Arabidopsis thaliana: one gene and its partners. The protein of the gene in region 1 interacts with the protein of each later gene in a pairwise test. Each region holds a gene or a part of one and is shown in the gene's direction. Other genes may lie near its edges.

What was found.
Region 2: the proteins of UBC34 (region 1) and AT1G11540 interact in a protein complementation assay, tested with the Arabidopsis thaliana proteins (one large-scale study listed by BioGRID).
Region 3: the proteins of UBC34 (region 1) and TET2 interact in a protein complementation assay, tested with the Arabidopsis thaliana proteins (one large-scale study listed by BioGRID).
Region 4: the proteins of UBC34 (region 1) and AMT1;1 interact in a protein complementation assay, tested with the Arabidopsis thaliana proteins (one large-scale study listed by BioGRID).

The regions. Positions count from the first base shown.
Region 1 is NC_003070.9:5,914,352-5,923,235, reverse strand, and holds UBC34 (ubiquitin-conjugating enzyme 34), read left to right. Parts: upstream 1-2,893; 5' UTR 2,894-3,257; intron 3,258-3,259; exon of another isoform or gene 3,260-4,038; 5' UTR 4,039-4,073; coding exon 4,074-4,130; intron 4,131-4,333; coding exon 4,334-4,388; intron 4,389-4,801; coding exon 4,802-4,840; intron 4,841-4,922; coding exon 4,923-4,986; intron 4,987-5,086; coding exon 5,087-5,148; intron 5,149-5,214; coding exon 5,215-5,272; intron 5,273-5,349; coding exon 5,350-5,377; intron 5,378-5,541; coding exon 5,542-5,633; intron 5,634-5,813; coding exon 5,814-6,090; 3' UTR 6,091-6,404; downstream 6,405-8,884. Other genes in the region: AlaAT1 (alanine aminotransferas), read right to left, coding at 244-465; AT1G17285 (uncharacterized protein), read right to left, coding at 1,949-2,018, 2,124-2,521. UniProt on the Arabidopsis thaliana protein: Accepts the ubiquitin from the E1 complex and catalyzes its covalent attachment to other proteins.
Region 2 is NC_003070.9:3,873,300-3,880,593, reverse strand, and holds AT1G11540 (Sulfite exporter TauE/SafE family protein), read left to right. Parts: upstream 1-3,270; 5' UTR 3,271-3,371; coding exon 3,372-4,124; intron 4,125-4,328; coding exon 4,329-4,478; intron 4,479-4,573; coding exon 4,574-4,714; intron 4,715-4,809; coding exon 4,810-5,118; downstream 5,119-7,294. Other genes in the region: XTH8 (xyloglucan endotransglucosylase/hydrolase 8), read left to right, coding at 308-512, 685-785, 884-1,086, 1,497-1,905; CXXS1 (C-terminal cysteine residue is changed to a serine 1), read right to left, coding at 5,283-5,438, 5,600-5,722, 5,999-6,076; AT1G11520 (pliceosome associated protein-like protein), read right to left, coding at 6,975-7,294.
Region 3 is NC_003071.7:8,470,919-8,477,002, reverse strand, and holds TET2 (tetraspanin2), read left to right. Parts: upstream 1-1,849; 5' UTR 1,850-1,981; coding exon 1,982-2,175; intron 2,176-2,260; coding exon 2,261-2,567; exon of another isoform or gene 2,568-3,398; intron 3,399-4,298; coding exon 4,299-4,610; 3' UTR 4,611-4,869; downstream 4,870-6,084. Other genes in the region: ACO1 (ACC oxidase 1), read left to right, coding at 1-78, 179-764; CDA1 (cytidine deaminase 1), read left to right, coding at 5,500-6,084. UniProt on the Arabidopsis thaliana protein: May be involved in the regulation of cell differentiation.
Region 4 is NC_003075.7:7,854,481-7,861,716, forward strand, and holds AMT1;1 (ammonium transporter 1;1), read left to right. Parts: upstream 1-3,702; 5' UTR 3,703-3,739; coding exon 3,740-5,245; 3' UTR 5,246-5,438; downstream 5,439-7,236. Other genes in the region: AT4G13500 (uncharacterized protein), read right to left, coding at 2,507-2,651, 3,098-3,167, 3,232-3,394. UniProt on the Arabidopsis thaliana protein: High affinity ammonium transporter probably involved in ammonium uptake from the soil, long-distance transport to the shoots and re-uptake of apoplastic ammonium that derives from photorespiration in shoots.

The DNA.
Region 1 (8,884 bases):
ACACAAGCAGGTGATCAATAAACCCTAAATCAAGTACAGAGCAATCTCGAAGAAATTAAACGAAGCTCTTCACTTTACCAAATCATAAATCACAAAATTTCATCGGAGTATAAAACAAAATCAAAGCTTGCAAAAAGACACAGATCAATCGAGGAAACATAATCCAAAACACAGAACACAAATCACTAACAAACAGCAACCCAAAAAGGCGAGAATAAAGGAAAAATTAAGAAAAAAACGGACCTTGGGGTTGATGGTGTCAAGAGTAACGGGAAGAGAGGAAGAGGAATCAGAAGCAGACATATCGGAAGAAGAAGAAGAAGACAAGTGGCGCGATGAAGAATCGGAAGGAGCAGAAAAAGGAGGAATAAGAGAGACAAAGCTGAGATTTTTGTGATGATGAAGTTGACGACGACGACTCTGATCTATGAGATTTTTAGCTTGGCCAATCACGAATCTCCGCATTTGTGATTGTGTGGTATGGGATTTATACTAAAAAGCTTGTTGGCTTGTTTCTCAATCTAAATTTAGATTTCGATAGTTTTGCTCGAAAGACGAAACTTCCCAATTCCTGTCTTCTCTCTCTCTCCAATTCACACTGATTTTGACATTTTTTTGTCCGTCCACGGATTTAGAATTTATCTTGTTTTCCTTTATTTTCAACGGATTTCTTTAAACCCTTTTCAACGAATATTGAATGTCTTTCTTTTTTTCTTTCTTACCAAATACTCTGTCAAAAGCCATCTATATATTTATCTTTTCAACGAAAAATCAATCTAAAAAAAGAATGTAATAAACGTAAATGAGATTTTTTTTTAATTTCAAACAAAGGAATGAGATTATTATTATTGTTTTGTTTTGTTTTGTGTGTTTTCAATCCATAATCCGTAATCTCGAGTCTTTTAGCCGTTTATGATATTTTCTTAGTCAAAAAATTTGTCTAAAGAGAGGTCGTAATAAATGAAGGTGGTTTTTTCTTCTTCTTTTTAATTTAGTTTGGTACTAATAATAATAATGAACAATTAATTGGAGATAAAGAACTTCTGGATCGTGGATTATTCAGACAAAACCATGTGTTTTATTGGTCGGAGTCGGCGCGTAAAACGCTGTTAGAAATTGGACAAAATTTGGCCATTATGGGCCGAGTTACGGTTTAGAGACTCTCTTCCGGCCCAACCGGTTCGTGGGAAAAATTCATCATATTATACATGGGATCAGCAAAACGACGTCATTTTGGCGGCGGTTTTCTCAGCGTTTCCTAATAACAGTAATATTATTATACATGGGATCAGCAAAACGACGTCATTTTTGAGTAATGTGTTGGATGCCACTTTGTTTCTTCTTGGTCCAAAAGTTTGTAAACAATCTCAACAATCTGTATCGGTGTTTTAGAGAAGTACAAACTTACATGTCAAAAGGAATCTAGTGCTCACAGCTGTGATTACTTCTTTCATTGTTGCTGTTTTGCAGTGAGGAGTAATCACTGGATATCGAGATAGGCAGCTAAATAGTCAGGATATTGTGAGGTTTCCTGCAGAACAACTTTCAATTTTTTACGGATCTGAGGATGCATTTTTGAAGCATATAGAACCGAGAACATAGATAAAGAGGTTGATCATTTTATATTTAAGGTTTTAAGCACCACTGAGAACAACATGCTATGGCTGAGGATAAGTCTGCTGAAGTCAAATAAAAGAAACCACAAAGCAGAGAAAAGAAGAAGAACTCAAAAGATTAAAGAGGTTGAGAATAGTTTTGGAAAGTTAGACTACTCGAGCTAGGAGGCGTTTTAAATTTTCATCCTATCTTGATCGATCAATAAGATTAAAAGATGAGTTCATATATTTCAAGTAGATTACAGCATTAAAAGCACACATGTCTAGGTACCTATTCTACAAAAAAAACGAAAGTAGAGGATCTAAATAAGGACAAAAAAAGAACTGGAATTTTAAGGTTTTCTTGATGTTGTGATCTGCTGTTGTTTCCTACTTGCTTTAACATCTACCGGTGGATTACACCTGATACAAAAAGAAACACTTTTTGATGTCAATTACACCTAAAACTCATCTTTGGGGATACATAAAAAAAAAGAAAAACTAGATTGTGTCTCGTATCTTCTTTACTTGTTCTGTATAGGGTTTGAGCCACTCCTTGGGATTCTTCTGAAGCTATCATTTTCTCCCTTAAGTGGCTCTTTCTTCATCTCCTTGCTTACAGGCAAATCTCTCACAGCTTGACTCGAATGTGTCATCGTTAACAGAGAACGTCCTTCTACACTATACTTGCTGCTAAAGAAAGCTACAAGTAACAGAACCAGAGCCACTGAACAGCATCTCTTCATTCTGAGTTCTCTTCTTGAAATTTCCTTTAGGACTCTTGAAACCTCTTGACTTTTTCTTGTTCTGTTTTTCTGTGAACTGAGAAAATCTTGGATGGAGATGTGTGTTAGAGAAAAGAGAGACGAGAGACTTCTAAAGCTTGTTGGTTTTATAGAATAAGATTTATGTGTGTTTGAACACATAGTTATTGGGATCTGATCACGTGATCTTACTTTGACTAATGCTATTTAATCAGATGGTGAGATACTTATCTTATTCTTAATCATTTACTTACGATGATGATGATATTCCTCAAGCATCTACATTGAAACAATGATACAATATCATATGTAGAGACAAAGATCCACATATTCACATTACCTAACTCATGTAACTGCTTTGAAACTAAGAGATGGTGGTCATGTGATTAGAGCACGTGATTTCTGCCTACTGTTATCGGGGAACTCAAAAGAGGCTGAAACTTAACTTTATTGAAATTATTTTTTAAGCATAACTTTGGAATTTGGAGGTATTAGTGTAAGTCCAATTTCAGAAAAGAAAAAATTGCAGGTAACAGCTGTTTTGTCTCACTACTAATCACTAGTTTTTTTTCTTCTTCTGCAGCTATTTTTTTTATATTTCATGAAGAGAAGGAAAAATTGATTCCAAGAACCGGCACAGATTCTTTGATGAGTGGTGGAGAATAAAGAAATAGGGAAAAGTGCATTACGCAAAATAATTATTAAATCATTGATCCTCTAATAACGAACCGGAATGGATTATACAATACCGGTCTAACTTGTGTTGAATTTTGTTCGGTTTAGATAAACCAAGCGCGAGTTAGGCTAATTCTTTCTCTCTCTACCCGCGGAGAAGGAGAAAGTGAGATTAACGAGAAACCCCAAGAGAGAAAATCTTCATCGACAAAATTCGATTCAGGTGATCAATTTCTTTCATATTTTCGCAATTATTTCTTGGATCTGATGTTATCTACTTTGGAATTTCTTCGCTGCATTATCTTTTGATTTGTTGTTCTTGTTCCTTTGCGTTTCTGGGTAAGAGCGAAGCTTGAAATTGCAATTGGAATCTCTAACAAGTTTAAGACTTTGCTTTGATACGGTTTATGTGGAAGTATCTGTGATTTTCTTATATATTTATGGAAGATATTGCAGCTGATTCGAGTTTGGTTTGCCTATCATTGTTGCAATTTTCTCGGTTCAATCAAAGGATTTTCTAGGTTGATATATAATTCCAGGGATTTCCAGATAATTTCCTTTAATTTGGTTGGAATTCGATTGAATTTTCGTTGCTTTCAATTGGTTTGCAGTGATTTGGGTGAAAAGATTTTTCCAAGCTCATGGAAATTGGGGATTTTTATTCAAAGGGTGTTTCTGGTGATCATAGAGTTGTTTGACTCAAGTTTCATTTGATCTTGTGTGTATTTGGTTGGTTTTTCTTTTCAATCAGGTCATGAAAGTATTGCATAATAGCTAGAAGTATTGTTATCTCTGTATATGTGTTGTGAGATAGTACAATTGGTAAAGTTTCCATATCAATGGCACGAAAATCAACTGCAATTTACTCGTTTCGATATATGTTTTTATGTAGTTCATATATGTAATTCAGACATAAGGGTTTTATGTAGTCCATCTCATCAGTAGGTGGACTTTCACTCATATTTGTATTTCGTTTTGTTGATAATGTTAAATGGGTGTAACAGCTGCTGCAGCTATTCACTTCGTCCATAGCACGTAGATGGCAGAAAAGGCCTGTATAAAACGTCTTCAAAAGGAATATAGAGCACTTTGCAAGGTACACTCTCTTTACTTGTTTTTCTACCTCTCTCGAGCTGGAACCAGGATTCCATATTTTTATTGCTCAACCAGTTTTCTCTGTACTTTCAAATGATGCTGTATCTATATGTGAATGTTTTCTTGGTTTTGGTTTAGAGTAAGTTTCATATTTTCTTTTGTTTCTTTGGGGGTTATTTAATATGTTCTGTTTTTGGCCTTTAGGAACCAGTCTCCCATGTTGTTGCTCGTCCTTCCCCAAATGACATTCTCGAGTGGCGTAAGCCTTCCCTATCTTTTTTTCTTAATCTTTATTCCTGCTGGCTTCCTGTAATCCTGTTGCAAGCGTTTCTATAAAGATGTTATGATAAGTATATATGATGGACATATTTGCTACACTTGTGAGTATACGTTAAACTAAGAAAAAATGGGATACTACGATCTAAGTAGACAGAAGAGGTCTCACATTACTTTGATGGAATAGTGAAGACTTATTTATCAAAGGTTTATATGTACTTACAATGCATAGATTTGATAGTTTTCTTCTCAATTGTGAAAGGCTGTCAGTGTTACTGTTAGCCTGATAGCGGTTAGGGAGTTTCAGTCTTTCTATTATTACTGCATTTAGTATGTTAAAAAGGGTAGCTTGATCTCTTACTAAAATAGAGTTAAACTATTGGATTAATCTTACAGATTATGTGCTGGAAGGCAGTGAGGGAACACCTTTTGCAGGTGAAAATCTTCTTTTGAAAGTTTCTTGTTAGTGTTGTCTTACGCAGTATCTTATTTTTGATACTAAAATTCTCTTTACCAGGTGGATTTTACTATGGAAAGATCAAGTTTCCTCCCGAGTATCCTTACAAGCCACCAGGGATTACGTATGTTCCAATGGTTCCTCCAAATTCAGTCTCAACATTACTCTTACCTCATTTTTTGTCCAGTTTTTTAATGAACCAAATCTTTTTCTGTTTGCCTCAGAATGACTACACCAAATGGTCGATTCATGACACAGAAGAAAATTTGTTTATCTATGAGTGATTGTAAGGACAATCTGCACTTTCTGTTCATTATTTCGTATCAATTAACTTGTCTAATATCGAAATAAGTTGACATGGCATTTACAGTTCATCCAGAAAGCTGGAATCCGATGTGGTCTGTATCAAGGTATAGATTCTTTCTTTACTTTTGGAAGATGACAATCGATATACCCGTTGATAACCAACTTTTTTTCATGAATGCAGCATACTTACAGGACTTCTCTCATTTATGGTAAGCTCACTGTAGGTTCTACATATTTATGGACATCTTGTTTGAAAATTCTCATATTCTTATATTGTAATGGTTTATTAGCTTAGATATGAATATTCAAAAAGGAAGTCTATTTTTTCTTTTCTGTTCTCAAGCTTTCTCTAAACGTTTTCCTTGCGGCGCAGATGGATACCAGTCCGACAACTGGAAGTGTTAACACTACTGTAATTGAGAAACAACGGTTGGCTAAGTCATCTCTCGCTTTCAATTGTAAAACGTAAGATTTTCCCATCATCAAAAAATTTCAAATTCTGGATTCATATAGAAGCTAAGTTTAGTTATCTGTGGTTAGGATAGTCATAAAAGCTGGTTAGATAACGAATATAGGAATGAATGCAGTCCTGAGATTACATGTTTTCGGTATTTCACCTGAATCCAATGTTCTTACTTGTGACAGCCCAGCATTTCGAAAGCTATTTCCAGAGTATGTAGAGAAGTACAACCAGCAGCAACTAGCTGAGCAAGCTACCACACAACTGACAACACCAGAGTCTCCTCAAAAGAGCGATACCAAAGTCGAGTCAGAGAAAACCATCGATCCAACAAAGGGAGATTCAGAAGGTGGCTTGAAGGAGAGGAAAAAGAACAATAAACAGGGATTGCCAGCGTGGATAATACTGTTGCTAGTGTCGGTTTTCGGTGTGGTAATGGCGTTGCCTCTGCTTCAACTGTGATTTCTATGCAACAAACCTCGACCTGGTTTTCGTATAATCTCTCCTTGTGTCTCTCTCTCTTCAGCATCAAGAGTAGTCTCCTTTTGTCTAGTGCTCTTCGTCTGAATTTACTCATTTAGCACCTCATGGTTTGTGCTTGTAAAAGCAGATAACATAAGTTTGGTTTCACAATTACATACATATTGTAGCTTCGTTGGAACTACTTTGTATAGTATATATGAATTGAGGATAATGGTTTGGATTTGAAAAATAGAACCGTATGGTTTTCAAATTGTACTTCTCCTAGAGCTCACAGGTTAATTTGTCAATTTATGTAAATACTCTGGTGTAGTAACTTGATGAAAACAGAAGTGACAGAGAGAATACACAGACAATAGTGAATAGAATTGTTAGGTATATTGGGCCAATTAAGCAATTGTCCCTTTAGGCCCATTGGTAAGAAAAGGAAAAAACCATACTTAATGATAAATTAAAACCGGTATGGCTGTACCGGTTCAATCTGTCTTCAACCACCGACGTTGACTTGTTACCAATCTTCTTCTTCTGCTCGAGTCCAGTCCAGTGAAAGTGATTATGTTTATGGTTAATAATGTTAACTCTATAATTTAGTGGGAAAAATGTTATTTAATACCTCAACTTACAAAAAATGGTCAAATTAACCGTGAACTCGTGAAATGGCCGTTTTAACTTTCAACAAAAAGTTGACTTCTGTTTTAACATTCAAGTTTGCGTTGACTCGGCCTAATTAACCACCGTTAAAATTCCTTCTAACAGCGTAATTGACAGACGTTACAGAACATCCGTTAAGGTGATACGACGACGTTTTGTGCTATCAACAGACTTCAAAGTCGACGAAACCTCTGAAAAATCCCCAAATCAAAACCCAAACCCTAAAAATCATTTTCTCTCAAATTTTTCGATCAAATCTGCATTATGAGCTGCAACTCAAGGAATTCGAGTGGTGAAAGTGGAGGCTGCAATTCAGGAATGATTTCGAATGCTGAAGCTGGAGGTTTCAAGAGCCGTGGGTTTCCTGTTAAGTGTAAATGTGGGCTCGACGTCGTCATGTTTACATCGAGCACGGCTAAGAACCCTGGAAGGCCTTTCTTTCGGTGCAAAAGCTGTGAAGATGTAAGTAGATTTGATATGAGAATGTGATGTTTTTTGTGTTTGGTCGATAAAAGCTTGAGATGGAATTGCAGGATCATTTGTTCAAATGGGTGGAGGATTGTATGTATGAAGAGGTTATAGATGCTCTACCCAAAATCTCCAGCATTGATAACGAGATAATCAATGCAAAAGCTGAGGTTGCTGTTGAAATTGCAAACTTAAAGGAGCTAATGATAGAGTTGAAAGAAGATGGAATGTGGAGCAAAAGAGAAATTCAGAGATGGAAAAAGATGACGAAAGTGTGCTTGGTGTGCCTTTGTTTTAGTGTGATTGCAATTGTAATATCAATGTTCTATAAGAAAAAAACCCAGAAATTTGTTCTTGGTTATTAGTGTGTAATCGAATGGGAGCTTAGTTTGAATGTGATGTCTTTGTTGTTTCTCTTGTTGTTGGTCTTTGTTGTTTAGTTTGTGTTTGGTTATGCTTTTACTATGTAATGACATGTAGCTTTGGTAATGGTAATGAATTTCATTTGAAAGAAAAGGTCAACTTCTTAAAACTGAGACTAAGCTAATCATATAGAGAGACAAGTGCAAACAACAATAAGTAAAAAGACTTAGATTATGTCATAAAGACAAGTTCAAACAACAAAAACAAACCGAGACTAAACATATGTCATAAAGACAAGTTCAAACAACAAAAACAAACATGAGACTAGCTTATCATGTTCCACGAGAACATTCAAACCATGGTGCAAGTCCAGCAAGTCCTTGCGATTGTGCTTCTCCTTGTGGTTGTTCAGACACTTGTGATGTTCCACGACCTCTTCCCCTCTGTCTTTGTGCTCCACGAGTTGTTCCCCTTTGTCTTTGTGTTCCACGACCTCTTCCTCTTTGGCTTTGTGTTTGTGACCCATTGTTCTGCCCTAGTGAGCCATTGTTCTGCCCTTGTGACACATTTTCCTGCCCTTGTAACACATTACCCTGCCCTTGTGAGCCATTATCATGTCCATGTGATCCTTCTACATACCCTTGTGGTTCCTAATACAAACATTACAATCAGTTTTTGAAACAGAATTTTTGAAAATAGAAATGAAAGATATACAAACCTCATTTATCCTTGGTCGACCTCTTGGTCTCTTTGGTGGACTTAAAACAGTAGCATTTTTGCATGATTTCTTGTTGTGCCCTTCTTGCAAGCAGTTAGAGCATGTCATGATCCTCTTTTCCCTTGACATTTTGTTCGGATTTGAGGAAGAGGCAACTTCATTTCTTCCTTTCCTTCTTGCATAATTGCTTGGCCTTCCGGCATTGCCTCTTCTCCATGGTGGTGGCAAGACAGGCAGCCTATTCAATCGACCCCACAAAGGCATCCCTTGGACTGGCCTAATACCACGGAAATATGTTTCTCGCCACCTATTTCTTGTGTAGTAGTCGTTCACATAGCTCTCAACCTTCTCTTTTTTCCCTATTATCACACATGTTGCATGAACACATGGGATCCCAACCATTTGCCATTTCCTGCAGCCGCATGTCTTTAAGTCCATATCAACAAAGTAGCCAACTCCATTGACATAGATTTCATGCAAATTATCCCTGGACATGTATCTCTGTGTATTCTGGAACCCAGCAATCATTTTCTCAATCTCAGCATGAGCTCTTGGTGTGTACTTTGTTTTGCACCT
Region 2 (7,294 bases), 2.0 Mb from region 1:
TTAACATAAAAATCATTGAGTTTTACTGTTAGTTTTCTTTAATTAAACTTTTTCATTTACCCTTTTTGCTTTCTTTTACAAATTATCGTAAACATCATTATTACATGAAAATCTTAGAAAAAAAACCGTATCAAAAGTCTAAACGCAATAGCATATTAAAAGAATTATTAATGGTCAAAACAGTCATTTCCCCGGTCTTTATAATAAAAGCAAGAAAGCTCTATACTCTTCTCACTCACGGAACAAGTGTAGATTGCATTACCTCTCTCTCTCTCTCTCTTCGAAATATTCGAAGTAGAGACAACCAATGGAGACGGAAAGGAGGATCATAACGAGCTGTTCTGCCATGACGGCTCTGTTCTTGTTCATGACGGCTCTAATGGCGTCGTCCTCTATCGCAGCAACACCGACACAATCGTTTGAAGATAATTTCAACATTATGTGGTCTGAAAATCACTTCACGACTTCCGATGATGGAGAGATCTGGAATCTTTCCTTAGATAACGACACCGGTACGTTCAAATCCAGTTTGCTTCCGGTTTAGGATCAATGCCGTTCTAGTCTTTCGAAATTACACTGATACTTACTCTGTTCCTACTTAAATCTACATGACATTTTTTAACTTAGTCTCTTGATTATTATATCGAAAGTTTAAATATTCTGATTGGATAAAAAATAAAACAGGATGTGGATTTCAGACAAAGCACATGTATAGATTCGGATGGTTTAGTATGAAGCTAAAGCTCGTCGGAGGCGACTCCGCCGGCGTCGTCACCGCTTACTACGTGAGCCGTCGTTCTTATTTAATGTTTCAATTTTGTAAAGAAGATAACCAATGATTTTGTTTTGTATTAATTATTTTAGATTAAATTTGGTTGAGCAGATGTGTTCGGAGAATGGGGCAGGACCGGAGAGAGACGAGATAGATTTCGAATTTCTAGGGAACCGAACCGGACAGCCTTACATTATTCAGACCAATGTGTATAAGAACGGAACCGGGAATCGGGAGATGCGACATTCCCTCTGGTTCGACCCGACCAAGGATTATCACACCTACTCAATTCTTTGGAATAACCACCAGCTTGTGTAAGTCCTCTCTTGATCTTGGCTAATGGTTAGTTGGCTACATATATAGAGATACCACGAACTGTACCGGGAATTTTGGGTAGAAACCGGAACCTTAGGTTTATGATCGGTTCGAAGTTAGAACCAACATTCCACTCACAATAACATAATTCAGTTTACAGATTAATTTCACAATAGGTTCAATCCTGTTTTCTTACGTTTAGCTTTGAGAAAACTTAAATGGTGCAGATTCAAATTTCGACCGACACAAAAATTCCAATCTGGTTTAAAGTTCAAACCGACCAAAGCAAGCCTATCTTAACCAAACTTTAAAGAACTCAAACTAGACCAACTCGAACCGAATTGGTCAATCAAAGCTAATTTTATCGATTGGTACAATGCATAACCCGGTTTAATCCAATCCAAACCAGGTTCTTCGTGGATAGGGTACCAATTCGAGTATACAAGAACAGTGATAAGGTACCAAACAACGACTTCTTCCCGAACCAGAAGCCGATGTACTTGTTCTCCAGCATTTGGAACGCTGACGATTGGGCTACACGTGGTGGTCTGGAGAAGACTGACTGGAAAAAAGCTCCATTCGTCTCTTCTTACAAGGACTTCGCCGTCGAAGGCTGCCGTTGGAAGGATCCATTCCCTGCATGCGTCTCTACCACAACAGAGAATTGGTGGGATCAGTACGACGCGTGGCATTTGTCCAAGACACAGAAGATGGATTATGCGTGGGTGCAGCGTAATCTCGTCGTATACGATTATTGCAAAGACAGTGAGAGGTTCCCTACTCTTCCTTGGGAGTGTTCCATTAGCCCTTGGGCTTAAAATCAATTTTGTTTTGAGTGTATTAAAGTGGAAATGGTTTATGTAATAATTTTACTCTCTTTTTTTTGGCATTTCTTATTTTGTTATGGACTATATCCTCTGTTTATTTATTTAATTAATTATTTATTTAGTCGGCTATATTTCATAACTGCTTTTTAAGATGTATATTAACTTGAGAATTCTTCTTACACTTAAGGTCTCAGAACAGAACAGTGGGTCAAAAATATAAACGAACATGGATGAGCATAAGAGTAAAGACATGTGACAAACAAAAGGTTCAGCTACAGCTACTAATGAAGCCCAAATACCTTATTGAAAAGAAATAGCATTTGTGATTGTGATATTATAAGAGAGCATATCCAGAAACTTTTGTCCGATTTACCATTCGATAACATCAATGACAATCGTCCATCGATCGTTGTAGTAGTAGCATCTCTAGAAGAACCCACAACTTTTGATTTCTTTGAAGAAATCAACGGAAGTGGGTTACATTACATCACAATCGTGAGGATAGGCCTAGGATTAGCGATTTACCGTTTTTTAATGTACATTTCTTCTATAAACACTATCTTCTAATAAATAGTCCAAGTTTGCTAAATATGCCAAGTTGGACATGTGTTATGTCCGGATTCATTCCGATATTAAAAGTCAACCTTTTACGTGCCAAGTGATGAACACTATTTATCGCATTTTTAATTTGAAAAACAATTCATTTTTGATTGACAATTTTGAATTTCTTGCATTTTATTACGATTGCCTCACTTTTGGGTATAAAAATAATAATATGACATACTGGTGGGATAAAATAAATAGTACGTTTTCTTACACACTATAAATTAAATATGTTCGTAAACTTACTTTGAACCACAATGTCAACTAAGCTTGCTAACATCATTTTTCCTCTAGAACTTGTCTCCCATATATGTTTCTAGCCCATTTCTCGTCTTGATAGTCAAAGGACATTTACACATAGCACAAGTATTTCTTTCCAAACTTGTATGCAAATATTCAAACTTTTCTCCCTTTCTCTTAATTAATTTCCAAAAATTGATATGTAAAAGAAAGACAAATATAACTTGGTGCCATAGTCTTTATTTTTTCAGCTAATAAATACATAATGCTATTACCACTTTTTACAAGTACCTAAAACAAAAACAAATCTAGAGGATATGGGAAAGAAGCTCCTTTGAATAAATATTTCAATAAAAATAATACTACTAGATCTACAAAAACATAGGAAAAATAATTGCATTTGTCATCTTTAGTTTTTTATTTCACCAAATTGTCTTAAATTAATTAATTCCGTAATAAATACCTTGTATTAGAATTGCAGTTGACTAAACCCTTTATTGATTCATATATAAGTATAAACCAAACAATAAATGAGCATAAAATTTCTAACGTTCCAAACAAAAATAAACCCCAAAACTTTCAAAAGGTTACAAACAACCCCCTAAGTAAAGAAAATGACGATCAATTTAGTCCCTCTTCTCCTCTCCCTAATCACCATCTTCACCATCTTCAATCCATCCGCCCTTGCAGACCAGAGTCAAATCCGCAGCACAACAAGCCAATGGCTCCATTTCTCGGAGGACCTCAGCCAATCAACTATTGAAGTCTCCATCCCCACCATAATCGCCGCCGTTCTCTCGTTCTTCGCCGCCTCTATCTCCAGCGCCGGAGGAATCGGCGGCGGTGGACTCTTCCTCTCGATAATGACAATCATCGCCGGTCTCGAAATGAAAACAGCTTCAAGCTTCTCAGCGTTCATGGTAACCGGCGTCTCTTTCGCTAACGTGGGATGCAATCTTTTCCTGAGAAACCCTAAATCAAGAGACAAAACCCTAATCGACTTCGATTTAGCTCTTACTATTCAGCCATGTCTACTTCTCGGAGTAAGTATTGGTGTGATCTGTAACCGTATGTTCCCAAATTGGCTTGTGTTGTTTCTCTTCGCTGTGTTCCTCGCCTGGTCAACGATGAAGACTTGTAAAAAGGGAGTTTCTTACTGGAATTTGGAGTCGGAAAGAGCGAAGATTAAGAGTCCAAGAGACGTTGATGGCATCGAGGTAGCGAGATCGCCGCTTCTGAGTGAAGAAAGAGAAGATGTGAGACAGAGAGGGATGATTAGGTTTCCATGGATGAAGCTTGGAGTTTTAGTGATCATTTGGTTATTGTTCTTCTCTATTAATCTTTTCCGCGGAAACAAATACGGTCAGGTATGAATTTAAGTATCTAAACGCGTATTTATGATTTTTGGTCGATTGATTTGAATATTTTTCTATCTCAATGCTCTCATTGCTCTGTTTCCACATTCCCTCCACTTATTTGAACGTTCCTTGAAGTGTTATAATTCTTTCCAAATTATTGAAATCTTAATGGCATGTAGAAGTAAGAAGTTGATATACTTTGGATTTGCACAGGGAATCATATCGATCAAGCCATGTGGAGCTCTCTACTGGTTCCTCTCCTCGCTTCAAATACCTCTCACTATCTTCTTTACTCTCTGCATTTACTTCAGTGACAATGTTCAAAGCAACCACACATCGCATAGTAACCAAAACTCTGAACAGGTCCAATACATACTACTTGCTGTTGATTAAATTAGCTTTTCTGTTGGTCAAAAGTCAACAGGTTTGATGAATATGAAACTGAAATTACTCCACAGGAGACTGGAGTTGGAGGAAGACAAAACAAGTTGATGCTCCCTGTAATGGCTCTCTTGGCTGGAGTTTTGGGTGGCCTCTTTGGTATTGGTGGTGGAATGCTCATTAGTCCTCTTCTTCTCCAAATCGGTATTGCTCCAGAGGTACGTTCTTGAGTCTTGTTCTCTAGCAGCATCAGAACCAAAGTTTTACCAAAACAAGCAATTGGATTCTTAAGTTAATCGTGCTCTCTCTACAGGTAACTGCAGCTACATGTTCGTTCATGGTTTTGTTTTCTTCATCAATGTCTGCAATCCAGTACCTACTACTAGGCATGGAACATGCTGGAACCGCTGCGATATTTGCTCTGGTCTGTTTCGTGGCATCACTGGTTGGACTAATGGTGGTTAAGAAGGTTATAGCCAAGTATGGGAGGGCTTCGATCATTGTGTTTGCAGTTGGTATCGTCATGGCACTTAGCACTGTACTGATGACAACCCATGGAGCTTTTAATGTTTGGAATGATTTTGTCTCTGGTCGCTACATGGGTTTCAAATTACCCTGTTAAGAACCAAAATTAAATAAATCCAGTTCTTGTTTATAACAGAACTTGCTTTTATAAAAATTTACACTTACACTTGATATTTCACACAAACCAAATACCAAAGTTACAAACTAATTACACTTCACACAAACTTTATTTAGTATTCTGCTCGTATCTATAAATCTCTCTTAAGCAATATGAACAACACGTGAGGACTGAACGAAACCATCGACCCGTTTCTTAATCTCATCAGGGTTTGCGCCCACGAGTTTGTCCATCGCATTACCATCCTTCAAGAACAAGAAAGTTGGCATCGCCTTTACCTCTAGTTGACTTGCCACTTCCTGACCAATCCAACATAGTAAAAAACAAAGAAAAACCATTAATCATCTACCAATTTAGCAACTGTTTAAATCTTTTACTCTTGATGGTTAAACACTTCTCTTCAACAAAGAAGCCAAAGTAGAAAGACATATCAAGTAGAGAGACACATAAGTAGTTTTACCTTAACTTCATCAACATCAACTATTAGAAACAGAGCATCCTTATAGTTAAACGCAAGCTCTTCGAAGAAGGAGTTCATAAACACAGAAGGAATACACCATAATGCAGTGAAATGAGCCACAATCTGCAAAAAACCATAAAGGAACAACCGTTCTTGGTAATTCATATAAACAAACAAGACAGAGCCATTCATTCACAATCCTGAACATTAATATTCATGGTTCATTCTCACTAACTTCATATCTTAAAGAGTAACACAATTTGGATTTAACCAATTGTAAATCAAATTCTCCATAAAACTCTAATCCTAAGATCTTGATTCTTTCATAGGTCTTGGATCTAAATCAGATTTCATTTTGGCTACTAGAAAACGAAAGTGATAAGAGGAAGAGAGACTTACGGGACAATTCTGATTCTTGGCTTGACTCACATAGAAATTCCATGACTCTGCAGAATCGATTTTAACAACTCTTGCCATCTCTTGGAGCTTCCTTTTTTTCTAAATCTCAAACAAGATTTGGTGATTCAGTGTTTATCTACTTGCATGATGGGACCGAGTGGACAAAAACTATGTCTGAGTCATACACAAAAAGTGTGGCCAGTTATCTTTCAACGAGTTACGAAATAATTTATTAATTTCTAAGATATTTAAGAATAAGTGTTGACCAAGAAAGCTATATTAAAAAGAGAACCAAAAAGAAAATAGATATTTTTTTTATGACTATATGCAATGTTAATGTTTAGAGGAATTTCATTGGTGGTTTCTAAATATAAGTTTCTTAACATTAAAACAACAAAAATAATATTATTTAATTATGTGGGTTTCTTAAATATTTAGAAATTCTCTCCAAAATTTCTTATATAAAGTATTTTGGAGATGGTTTCTTCATTAATCAAAAAACCCACACATTTTTTTATAATAAAACTTATCTCTCTAAAATAAGAAACTTAAGTTTAGAAACCATTGATGGGGTTTGAATCCCCTTACAAGTCAGAATAATAAGGGGATTGAATTAACTTACATACTGCAGAAAGACCAAATCCTTCAAAATGTAAATATTAGGTTTACACAATGATGCAATCACCTATTTAAAAATTTACATCATTGGTGGTCTAACATTTTTTTTTTTTTTTAATAAGCATTAAGACTAAAAACTCAAGATCTCTTACTCAAGACTAATAATTCTGGAACATGAATCTCTTTCTATGTCTCATGTCCAGAATCTAAAATCTTTTTTTTTTTGTCTCTTCCATAACGCACCTCAGAAGTTGAAATCTTTCTTTTTCTTCTCTTCCTTGCCATGCATTTTCCTCTTCCTACTATTCTGCTACACATGCTCGACGACCATGTCACTCAAGTCCACTGGCTTATTGCGCTATTTCTCCTCTTCTCTTGCCTCCTCATACTGTAAAACATTTCCCATAGCATCCAGCTCTTCTGGCTGTAAACTGAAATCCACTCTATCTGTCTTTTGCCCTCTCAGCAAATCAACCCTTTTGGTTCCCGTCTTGTCCTGAGTACCAGTCTTAATAACGTATGTGTGTGTAGTTCTCAGCAATGTTCCAGGAGCAACAACACTCTCTCCCTTTTCTTCAAGTACCTGGTATAGAGCCCTATCAGGTTCCTTTCTCTGTTCCTTACGAAGTTCAATTGCATCCGGTGTCTCAATACCAGTAGGAGTGCTTGACAGAGATT
Region 3 (6,084 bases), on another chromosome or scaffold:
TTGGGAAAGCAGTTTCTTCATCTCACATAAACCAACTTCAAATATCTGTCAGATCCCAAACATTTCAGAGGAACTCAGGTAAAGTAATTAAGAATTGAATAGTACCAAAGGCTCTACCATTTTTACCTGTTTGCTTATTTAACTAAACAATGTGAGAGGGTGAAATTGATATTTGCAGCAAGACGATGGATGAATATGTTTGTCAACTGCACAAGTTTGCAGAGAGACTCTCCAAGCTCATGTGTGAGAATCTTGGTCTTGATCAGGAAGACATAATGAATGCCTTTTCTGGTCCAAAAGGTCCAGCTTTTGGAACAAAAGTGGCTAAATACCCAGAATGCCCACGTCCTGAGCTTATGAGAGGGCTGAGAGAACATACGGATGCTGGGGGAATCATATTACTCCTGCAGGATGATCAAGTGCCTGGTCTTGAGTTCTTTAAAGATGGGAAGTGGGTTCCTATACCGCCATCCAAGAACAATACCATTTTTGTCAATACCGGTGATCAACTAGAGATACTGAGTAATGGGAGGTACAAGAGTGTTGTTCACCGTGTAATGACAGTGAAGCATGGAAGTAGACTGTCGATTGCTACGTTTTACAATCCGGCTGGTGATGCCATAATATCTCCAGCTCCAAAGCTCTTGTATCCAAGTGGCTACCGTTTTCAAGACTACCTAAAGCTTTATTCAACTACCAAGTTTGGAGACAAAGGCCCCAGACTTGAGACCATGAAGAAAATGGGAAATGCGGATTCAGCCTAGGATGCATCTGGAATTTGACGCTTCTGTACTCACATCATAAAAACTTTGTCTTCTTCTTGTGTTTCCTTATAATTTAAATAACCAGCCATGTCAGAATCTTGCTGATTCAGCTATACTACTTCACTCTTCTTTCTTCACTTCCACTTGAAAAGTTCCAAAGCCAAACTGAAGCAGTCTCATCAAGCTCTGTGTCGAACTTGAGATTAGACAAAGAGCTTGTAATCTAAGCTCTAAGATTGACAGTCAATTTCATGATTTATAAGATGTAATTCAACTCTTAACGTAATCCACAACTCCGCCATCATCTCTTTCCATATTCTCTCTGATTTGACTCATTTCCTTCCCAATTCCTAGAATCAAACAAATAGCATTTCTATATCAGCATCTAAAACTGAAAGCTAAGTGTGTATTGACTCAAAATTCTTCTCCAATCGCAATAAAATCGAGATGAGAAAAATTCATCCATATGTTTTGGTTCACACATTCTATCGAGCAGCTTGTGTGCAATCCCAATCCTCTGAACCAAAACAAAAGCTTATCTCTTGACCATTACCCGACATTTCACTCATCAGCCAACGACAAATCCTGCTCCGAAACCTCTAATGCTTGGAAAAGAAGAAAATTCCGATTTCCGAACAATGGAACTTACTCCATTTTGCATTCTCTGTCGAAAGTAACATACGTTCAATGCAAATGACCCAAAGTCGTCGGTGCCACGTGGATAGTTCTCACTGGTTGATGCATTCGGTAACTCGCAGAATGGAAGAATATTAACACAAAAGGCATCTCGCGTATCCACGTGTCCCGTTCAAGATTCCAAATTCTAAACCAAAAGCCGGTCCGACCAGATTAACAAGTTCTCTTTATTACATCACAACCCAAAACTTGTTCAAAACCTAACTTTTCATTGCTAAACATATTTTATTCTGACATTCACATGTTAACTTTAATCCAATATCTAATTCTTTTTTCTTAAAACCACCGTTGTCGAAAAATCCAAATCAGCAAAATCAGTGATTAACCGGACCGGACCAAACCGAACATCGTTTTCTGTAAATAGCAGTAACTGGTTTCACACATCCCATCATCTCTAACCACCGACCTCATAAGTCATTAAGACAAAAACAGAGACACTCCTCTCACTCTCATTATTTCATTTTCTTTCCATAAAAAGCACGAATCTTCAAGAACAAAGAGAGAGAGAGAGAGAAAATTTAATGGCGTTAGCGAATAACTTAACGGCGATACTCAACTTACTAGCGTTACTCTGTTCCATACCAATAACGGCGTCAGGTATATGGCTAGCTTCAAAGCCAGACAACGAGTGTGTCAATCTCCTCCGTTGGCCCGTTGTCGTCCTCGGCGTTCTCATCCTCGTCGTCTCCGCCACAGGCTTCATCGGCGCCTACAAGTAAGAATCAAAGAACTTCAAGACTTTGAAAACATAGACACAAATTGAATCATAAAGATGTAAACTTTGAGCTCTCATATTTCAGGTACAAGGAAACTCTACTGGCGGTTTACTTGTGCTGTATGGCGATATTGATCGGACTTTTGCTGGTGGTTCTTATATTTGCATTCGTCGTGACCCGGCCCGATGGATCGTATCGGGTTCCGGGTAGAGGTTATAAAGAGTATAGGCTTGAAGGGTTCTCGAATTGGCTTAAGGAGAACGTTGTGGATTCCAAGAACTGGGGAAGGCTAAGGGCTTGTTTGGCTGATACTAATGTTTGTCCTAAACTCAACCAAGAATTCATCACCGCCGATCAGTTCTTCTCCTCCTCTAAGATCACTCCTCTCCAGGCATGTTCTTTCTTCTTTTATTCTCTTTTATAAAAAGAACCCCGAAATTTCTAGTTTCCGGTTTAGGTTTGGTTTAGAGGTAAATCTAGACTAAATATCGGTTATGCAACTATGCCAACGAATCATTGTGGGTTTAATTAGATATTATTAGATGATTAATGGAGATAAGATACGAAGTAAAGAGAATGTTTTGTAAAATCTCTAGATTATGTGAGACCTACGGTTTGTTCTTGCCATAGAAAGATAGGTTATTTTTTCTTTCAAAAAGTAAAGTATGTGGTTTTAAATCAAAAAGTTAAAAAATTTCTCTTTAGCTTTTGTGAAGATGTCCAAAAGAGAATTGTTCTTATTCTCTATATTCTTTTTTTTTGTTTTGCAGCTTTAAGTTATTTCGTTTTGGATTTCCTCATCTTTGAAAAAACTAAAAAAATATTTTCTGACTTAATTAATCTTATGTTTTCTAGTGTTGGAGAGAAACCTACATTAGCTTTCTTAACGTTTCGCAGTTAGTGCCATTTTGTGGTAAAACTCATAGATTAGGCATATGTAATCACCATTATTGAACACATATTTATTCCTAGTAGACTGGTGTAGAAGTTGCTGGAGACCAAGTCCACAAGATTATATAGTAAGATAGTCAGATTTCAAAATTATACACTATCATAAGGACCCACCCATGCACCCACAATATGGTACATGATAAACTATGTTTTATCTGTGTATTAATTATATTTTTCCTTTGTCACTATCTCACTCATAAAATTCAATGATCCCATTCACTTTAGATAGTGTTTTTCGTGATCACAACTCAAACTTGACAAAATTTCCTACTTTTTCTATTTAATTTTATTAATTAAAATCACTCTTAAAATTCATTGTCATGTCTTTTATGTCTTTTAAGCTTTAAACATGGAGAGATTAAGGGTGATTTAAATAATTTTATTCCTAAAACTTCTATAGCAAGTTGTCATCCTAGTCCATTGTCACTGTAACAAGATTGGAACCACTAATAATTAAATAAGCCTAGATGCTGAGGTCTCGACTGAATTTTAAATCTTTTAGTCATTAGACATTATTAAATATTGGACCAATGATTTGATTCAATAATTACGATCACAAGTCTTTGTCTCCATCATGAAACATAATAGATAATTATATCCCTCCCATGTTGCCCCACTCACATTATAATTTTTCTTATTGGATAAATTAGGACTCAAGAAAAAATAAGTTTATTTCTAAGAAAGAGTTATACAATTTCTCGTCCTCGAGACAGAACCAAAATTTACTCATAAGTAAAAGAAGATTATTCTGTGATAAGATTCAACATGTTTTTTCATTTTTTTTATGTACTTTCATACCAAGCAAGCAATTTTTTAGGTTTCTTGTAGTCGTTTTATTTTTATAGCTTTCAGACTAAAACTAGTGTTTCATTGTTTTAGGTCTTGACTCTTGAACTCTTGATTGTTTGTGTTTGCCTTTAGTATATACTTTTTTTTTCTCCACATGAACCCATAATATTAACCATGTTAAGCAAAATGAAATTTTTGTTGTAAACACAAAGGGCAGACGCAAATGGTAGCGTTTGTGTTTACAATGTGTAAATATTTTTTACCAATAAAAAAAAAGTGTAAATATCTTTAAGACTATGATTATCATATTTGAAAACATGGTTAAGCATATATTTGGTCAAATCTAATTATGACAATTTCTTGAACATTTGTTGTTTTACAGTCCGGCTGCTGCAAACCACCAACCGCATGTGGCTACAACTTTGTGAACCCAACACTGTGGCTAAATCCAACCAATATGGCTGCAGACGCAGACTGTTACTTATGGAGCAATGACCAAAGCCAGCTTTGTTACAATTGCAACTCATGCAAAGCTGGTTTATTGGGAAACCTTAGAAAAGAATGGCGTAAAGCAAATCTCATACTTATCATCACAGTCGTTGTTCTCATATGGGTTTATGTTATTGCTTGTAGCGCGTTTAGGAATGCTCAGACTGAGGATCTCTTCCGCAAATACAAACAAGGTTGGGTCTAAAATGTGTTTGTGTCTATAAATTTGTTTGTAGTTTGTTGAGATTGGAGTTTTCGGAAATAGCTCGTCATATTATGATTTCTTTGTGTGTGGAAAAGGTTTTTTTCTTTTTATGGATTTTGTTTCTATGTTTATCAGTTTATGTTCGACAAAATGGCACTTATCTATGTAAACAAACAACTGACCCTAATTGGAAAACTGATTGTTGTCATAGAGTTTTCTCAGTTTCTTCTATTAAGAAAAACTTAACCGTTGGTTAAAACGTAATTATCAACAAAGACTTCTCTTTTGGTCTGTGACGTTGATTCCAACGATAAGAACAAAACCTAATCTTTGTTTTCTTTTGTCAACAATAGTACTATCACCTTTGTTCTTAACTATTTTTTTGGGAACTTAAAATTGACAACACCGGAATTAAAATGTTTAATACTATCAAAATTATATGAAACTAAGCTGTCTTTTAGCTATAGTTTAATTCATTTCTGACCTCTAAAATAATATTATCCGGAGATTATTGTAGTTTCGTAACGTGGTTGATGAAACTACTAGGTGTTTTCTTAATTAGACCACGATTTTAACATTACGTTACACTAATACTCTATTGCATTTTTGGTAGTTTTCATAACAATGATTCCATGCGGCTTAGTCAAACCGAAATCATATTATTTGTAAATTCAATTCTGATATAATTTTTCTATTTTGTACCAAACGTAAACCGAAACATAACCGAAACCGAACCAAAACTTCATTTGCGTAATGTAGTTTCCTACGTTGTTGTATCTATAAATAGTTTGTTTGTCCAGCATCCATTTCATAATTCCTCATTTCCCGGATCTCTCCCATCTAAAAATAACCCGACCCATTTACGCGACCCAAACCGGATCAACCCGCAATGGATAAGCCAAGCTTCGTAATCCAATCCAAAGAAGCAGAATCCGCCGCGAAACAACTCGGCGTTTCCGTCATTCAGCTCCTCCCGTCGCTAGTCAAACCAGCACAATCCTACGCTCGAACTCCGATTTCGAAATTCAACGTCGCAGTCGTCGGACTCGGATCATCAGGTCGGATCTTCTTAGGCGTCAATGTCGAATTCCCAAATCTCCCTCTCCACCACTCAATCCACGCCGAACAGTTCCTCGTCACCAATCTCACACTCAACGGTGAACGTCATCTCAATTTCTTCGCCGTCTCCGCCGCACCATGTGGCCATTGCCGTCAATTCCTCCAAGAAATTCGCGACGCACCTGAAATCAAAATCCTTATCACCGATCCAAACAACTCCGCCGATTCCGATTCCGCCGCCGATTCAGACGGATTCTTACGTCTCGGAAGCTTCTTGCCACACAGATTCGGTCCCGACGATCTTCTCGGGAAAGATCATCCTCTTCTTCTCGAATCTCACGATAACCATCTCAAAATCTCAGATCTGGATTCGATTTGTAACGGAAACACCGATTCATCCGCCGATTTGAAACAA
Region 4 (7,236 bases), on another chromosome or scaffold:
CAGAGAAAAGATATTTACCCGAGTGACCTAAATGAAGTGAACAGGTCAACCTGACCTGGAATATTCTTAACCACCAGCTTATATAGATCACATATGAAAAATATAAAGTGTGTAGATAGATGCTTTTAAAACTTTCGATAAAGGCCCGTCAACAATTGATAATAAGTTTTCGTGTGAACTAAAACTCAAAAGTATTAAAAAGAATATACCAGTGGGTCTTATTATGCTCGATTATATAATTTTTCTTGCGTGTTATTATCATTTTTTCATGAATCCTAATTATTTATTTGGAAAAGTCCAAACCCGGAGATGCAGATTCCCTGGTCAATATTTGCTTACTAACTACAAATGTCGGAATCAACTTTAGTTCATTTTGGTTCTTATTGCGTCTGTTTTATAATAATCAGGTGTAGTTAAAGCAACTTTTTTTTGGGGCAAATTAAAGTAACTTTCTAATAGTATATATATAGAGAATATTAATACCCAATATTTATATACAGAAAATAACATGTTTAAATCAGCTTCTTCTAAATTTTAAAGTAATCAGTTTCATGAATTTGTAAAAAAAATTCTGCAGTATCATTAACTAGATGTCTGATTAAATATAGTAAAACATGTGTACGAATTATTTAGTTTGTATGGAGAAATATTTTTGGTCAAGCGATTAAAGTTCCATTTTTTGTGGATTTTTTTTCGCTAGAATTTAATTACGAATATTTGTTTTGTAGAGTTAACAACCTAAGAATCGAGATATATCTCGACATCGATGATATAAAGAAAAAAAAAGGTATAGTATATATTTTTAAAAACATACACTTATTGTTTTTAGTGATGATACTGGTAAAACACTTTCATGCAATATTATTGAAATACCACTTCAAAGACTAATTTTCGGTATCGATAGAGTTTTAGTTCGTCGACGTCGAGAAATTTTATATCCTCTTCGATTTCTTTACAGTTTTTATCGATTTTTTTTGTATATACTTCTAATTTTCTTCTCTCTATATGACTTTTCTCTCAATTTCTTCTTTTTCATATCTACTTTTTAAGATATTTTAAAGAGTCGTGAAAGAGCATCCCTTCAATATGCTCATGCCATTGGTATTGAATTCACCAAAAGAGAAGCCTCTCATCAAATAAGTTCTTCAATCCCGAAACTTGAGCTTAGTCTCCAAATCCTTTGAGTTAAGATGTCTTATGACCCTCGTCATTTATAAATTAAACTCAATAAAATTGATGTCTACACTTTGATCGGATTGAACAAGAACATTGTCATGTTCACTTGCAATATTCACATAAGCCTTTATCGGATTCAGTTGTCCGCAAATATTTTGATATTTACTCGATGAAAGATCTGCTATAAGGGTGAATAAATTTGTAATTCAAGCCCCATCACAAATCGCGGTAGATCAACTGCATCTAGCTTGGAAATCAAGAGTACTATATGCTCGTTGACGCCTTCATCAAGACCAAAAGTAAACTGTACATTGTTGCCTCTATTCCCCAATCTTGGAATCTAAATATCTCTTGATCAATTTTTTATGCTTGGTTCTATCATATAGTTACTTTTTAACTTGATGAATTTCCAAACATGTTTTAGGAAAACTACTTTGTGAAAATTTTATATTATATAAATAGAAAAGATAATTTAACGGAAAAGAAACATTAACTTTATAGCATGTGGTATGTGGATATTATGCTCACTCTCAATTAGTCAATTAAGATATACCAACAACAACCTGGTTGAGATATCACAGAAATTATCAATTAATATCTTATAAATGAATTCGAAATATGCTAAATGCAAACATAGTTTTGTAAGTACGTAATTTATAATATATTAATACTCAAATCTAAGACTTACTTTTGAAAACAAAAGAATATCTTGTCAAATTGACACTTTTTAATGTTCAAAAGAGATAGTAAGAAATTTCGCCTAACCAAGAAAACAATAAAAACAAGGAATTTCAGTCTCAATACTATATATATTTTTCTGTTATTCACTTATATATTTGGATGTGATAGAATACTTTTTTAAGAACACACATATCTTATCTTCACCGATATATTAGCTGATACATTTTTTACATTCCTTTTTATTATTATTATTCTTATTTATTTTCTATTCACATGTACTTACAAACAAAAACTTAAAGACTTTGCAATTTGCGTTACGAATATTTTTCGTCAGGCTGTAATTTGAAAAGTCTTCTAGATGATTTCAAGTCTCTGCTTAATGTGCCAACTAGGCTCTATGTCACTACTTTGTGTTGTCTCTAATTCTCATTCTTCTTGACAAGACCAAACATATCACTAATGATGAAGAGATGACTAATATTTGTTTATACATTTGCTTGTAATGAAGACATGTAGTATAGCAAAGCACCATATAATATAGTGATAGCATTCTATTAATTTGTTCTTTTTTACAGCCGAAGAAGAAGAGTATAAGAAACATGTTTAAGATTCAGCCTTAAACAAGTGAAGAAAAAACAAAAAGAAAGGCTCAACGAATGGGAACTTTGATCCAACCATTGGCAAAAGCAATGGCTAAGATGACGAATGGAGTTGACATACCGAATATGATAATGTAAGGAAGAGGCGTCTTCATCGGATTCTCTCCTTCTCTTTCTCCAACGCTTTGCCAATACCTACAAAATTCCAATGCAATCCTCATCCATAACCATTTCTTCAATCACAATTGCATGTTTATGAAAAATGAACATGCAAGAATTTAAGTTCTTTTTCTATTTTAAAAGAGTTTAGTTCTTTTGACTAAACTACAACCCAAATATTTTTATTCTTTTGCTAACACGGATTTGAGTCTGGATATTGATACAATACTAACACAATGTCACAAACCACCAGTCTACATGTCATTGACACATACAAAAAAAAAAACTACTTAAATTCTGCAATGGAGACTAAAATTTTTGTATTAAATTGGTAACCTACATATCGTTTTGTAATTTTCCATGTTTTCATCAATTTCCTAGGTTTGTTTTTCTGTGATTTTGCAAAATTACATTACCATTCTATGAGTTTCTGTTATTTTCTACAATCTCATGATGAAAATTGAGAATTAAGATTAACTTACTGTTCAGGTTCTTCCTCTTTGGTTATAAACTTTTTCTTATCTTTAGGCTTCACTTCTCCATCTCCTCCACCTTATGCAATAACCAAAGATTAACAAAATTTACATCTACAAACAAATAAAAGATATAAGAGTACCTAATTTGGCATGAAGCTTGAATTCTGGGAATCCTAATGGTGATGGTGGACAAAAGAATTGAGGTAAAGCAAGCAATGATGAATATGAAGAAGATGATGAAGTTGAGGAATCACTAGCCCTGTGGCTAAACGAAGAAGAAGAAATTCGAAATTTCGCTGCCATTTCCAACAACTATATGGATGTGATAGAATATTTTTACATTTTATTTTTCTGTTATTCACTTATACATTTGGATGTGATAGAATATTTTTTTCTGAACACACAGATCTTATCTTCACCGATATATTAGCTGAAGCCTGATACATTTACATTCCTTATTTATTTTTTATTCACATGTATGTACTAATAAACAAAACTTAAAGACTTTGTATTATGCGTTACGAATATTTTTCGTCAGGATTGAAAAGTCAACCCTAGGCCTTTAGCTTCCTTCTTTTATATAAACAGAGAAACAAAACACTTTCTTTCTCAGCCTCTCTGTTTCATCTTCTTCTCTAAACTCTCAACATGTCTTGCTCGGCCACCGATCTCGCTGTCCTGTTGGGTCCTAATGCCACGGCGGCGGCCAACTACATCTGTGGCCAGTTAGGCGACGTCAACAACAAATTTATCGACACCGCTTTCGCTATAGACAACACTTACCTTCTCTTCTCCGCCTACCTTGTCTTCTCTATGCAGCTTGGCTTCGCTATGCTCTGTGCCGGTTCCGTGAGAGCCAAGAATACTATGAACATCATGCTTACCAACGTCCTTGACGCTGCAGCCGGTGGTCTCTTCTATTATCTGTTTGGCTACGCCTTTGCCTTTGGATCTCCGTCCAATGGTTTCATCGGTAAACACTACTTTGGTCTCAAAGACATCCCCACGGCCTCTGCTGACTACTCCAACTTTCTCTACCAATGGGCCTTTGCAATCGCTGCGGCTGGAATCACAAGTGGCTCGATCGCTGAACGGACACAGTTCGTGGCTTACCTAATCTATTCCTCTTTCTTAACCGGGTTTGTTTACCCGGTCGTCTCTCACTGGTTCTGGTCAGTTGATGGATGGGCCAGCCCGTTCCGTACCGATGGAGATTTGCTTTTCAGCACCGGAGCGATAGATTTCGCTGGGTCCGGTGTTGTTCATATGGTCGGAGGTATCGCTGGACTCTGGGGTGCGCTCATCGAAGGTCCACGACTTGGCCGGTTCGATAACGGAGGCCGTGCCATCGCTCTTCGTGGCCACTCGGCGTCACTTGTTGTCCTTGGAACATTCCTCCTCTGGTTTGGATGGTACGGATTTAACCCCGGTTCCTTCAACAAGATCCTAGTCACGTACGAGACAGGCACATACAACGGCCAGTGGAGCGCGGTCGGACGGACAGCTGTCACAACAACGTTAGCTGGCTGCACCGCGGCGCTGACAACCCTATTTGGGAAACGTCTACTCTCGGGACATTGGAACGTCACTGATGTATGCAACGGCCTCCTCGGAGGGTTTGCAGCCATAACTGGTGGCTGCTCTGTCGTTGAGCCATGGGCTGCGATCATCTGCGGGTTCGTGGCGGCCCTAGTCCTCCTCGGATGCAACAAGCTCGCTGAGAAGCTCAAATACGACGACCCTCTTGAGGCAGCACAACTACACGGTGGTTGCGGTGCGTGGGGACTAATATTCACGGCTCTCTTCGCTCAAGAAAAGTACTTGAACCAGATTTACGGCAACAAACCCGGAAGGCCACACGGTTTGTTTATGGGCGGTGGAGGAAAACTACTTGGAGCTCAGCTGATTCAGATCATTGTGATCACGGGTTGGGTAAGTGCGACCATGGGGACACTTTTCTTCATCCTCAAGAAAATGAAATTGTTGCGGATATCGTCCGAGGATGAGATGGCCGGTATGGATATGACCAGGCACGGTGGTTTTGCTTATATGTACTTTGATGATGATGAGTCTCACAAAGCCATTCAGCTTAGGAGAGTTGAGCCACGATCTCCTTCTCCTTCTGGTGCTAATACTACACCTACTCCGGTTTGATTTGGATTTTTACTTTTATTCTCTATTTTCTAGAGTATTATTTTAAATGATGTTTTGTGATACTTAAATATTGTTTTGGATATTTTTTTGCATTTCAGTAATGTTTTAGATGTACAGTTTCATGGGGTTGTGATGATAATATCTATGTGGTCATTTGTGTTCTCTTTGGAGTTTTTTCTATAACGCTTTTTTCAAATTTTATGATCATTATTTGCTGCATTCTAGATAAGCAATTAGGAATGTGAAGCATGGACTAAGTAAAAGCCTGACCGTTTTTAAGTTTGGACTTTTGATATAGCTCATACTTTTTTGATATTAGTTCATACTTATTGCTTTAAATAGCTAAAAAGTCTAAAACAAACCTTGCATTGACGCAATAGATATAAATAACTCGAAGTATTGCTTTCTAGAAGCATTAACAATTTGGTAAAACGAAGTTGAACCATTTACTCAAGCATAATAATCAGAAATGACAATCTTTCATGTCTGATGCAAATAAATAATAATTTATGGAAATAATTTCTATGTCTTACATCACTAATTAGACTTTTAGATGCTTGCAAGTTTGAAGTTTCAGCAGAAGTAGGTGCTTTTACAAACTCTTTTTTGTTTTAATTTGATAAAGTGTGTTTTTACAAACTCTGTTTTATTTTATTTTGAAAAAGTGTGTTTTTACAAACTTTCAACCAACCTATTCACGAATCTCTAATTTCATTTGTCCACCACATGAAATAATGTGTTTATTATATTAGTGTTATTTAAACTCAACGATTTTGGAGATTCGTACGTACCTTGTTGCCGCAACTAAAGATTCGGAGTATCACAGTTATTATATTAACAAATGGATTCACAAAGTAGATCGCGAATTACTTGAAAGTTGGAACTCGTGATAATGTTGTCGATACCACTAAATGGCAACTTCGTACATATGTAAAAAAAGTCAGGGTATTTGGGTGCTTTTCAAAAAGATGGAAGCATGACATGAGTGATGAGGCAGCTCCTACAAGTTGGAAAGAAGATATTTTGTCTTTACCTCCAAATTAAAAAATTGGCATTTTTAAATATCAAAAGGTGAAGAAGCCAATCAATTAGTATATTTATTTGTATTTTTTTTTTTTTTTCAATCTCTTTTACAAGTTTTAAGGAACTTAATGGCCAGCACTTTGATTTGATAGATACACACTAAATGAAAAAGTTGACCAGATGGCTCCGGTACTCGGAAACAAATTGCATGGAAATTTTACATAATTAGGTACACACATTTCAACATTTTGAAGAATATATTTGACTGTTTTGATTTTGCAGTTTCAATTGCTTTATGATTTCTACTCGGTTATTTATTGCTTTCCTAAATTTTATTCTGTGTATCTTACTTTATTATTTTTTAGAATTTAATATTTGTTGCTTCTATTCTCAATGAATATACTCAACAGATGAAATAATTAATAAATAATTCCAAACATTTGAACGTTAAATAATTAAATAGTCTTGACCATTTTAATATTTTTTCTAATTGTAACATTTTCTTTAGTATTACTAGGTTATGATTATCATTACACGTTTGGGTTAAATATGTTTTTGAACTTTTGGCGACAGGCGAGTCACTTGTTTTATAAACTTAACTTATACTAATCATTTAACAGGCTACATGTACTTTGCTATAGGTGAGTCATGTAACTGTTTAATTAGCTAGTGTGAATGTGTGATCGACGAAAAAAAAAAATTAGCTAGTGTGACCATATTACTTATACAACAACAAACTAAAAACTTGTCAAACTAAAAAAAGAAAGTAATATATCTGTTTGTAATTAGTCTAATCGTATTAAACTTTTCAGTTTTCACATAATAAAACAAAATTACAAAAATCTGATTATAAATGCATCACTTTTTGTGATTAACAATTTTTTACCCTAAAGCAATAGTAATTATTCTTAAATTTTACAATTCATCATCATTAACAAATCAAAGATAAAAAAATTTAAAATGCTCAC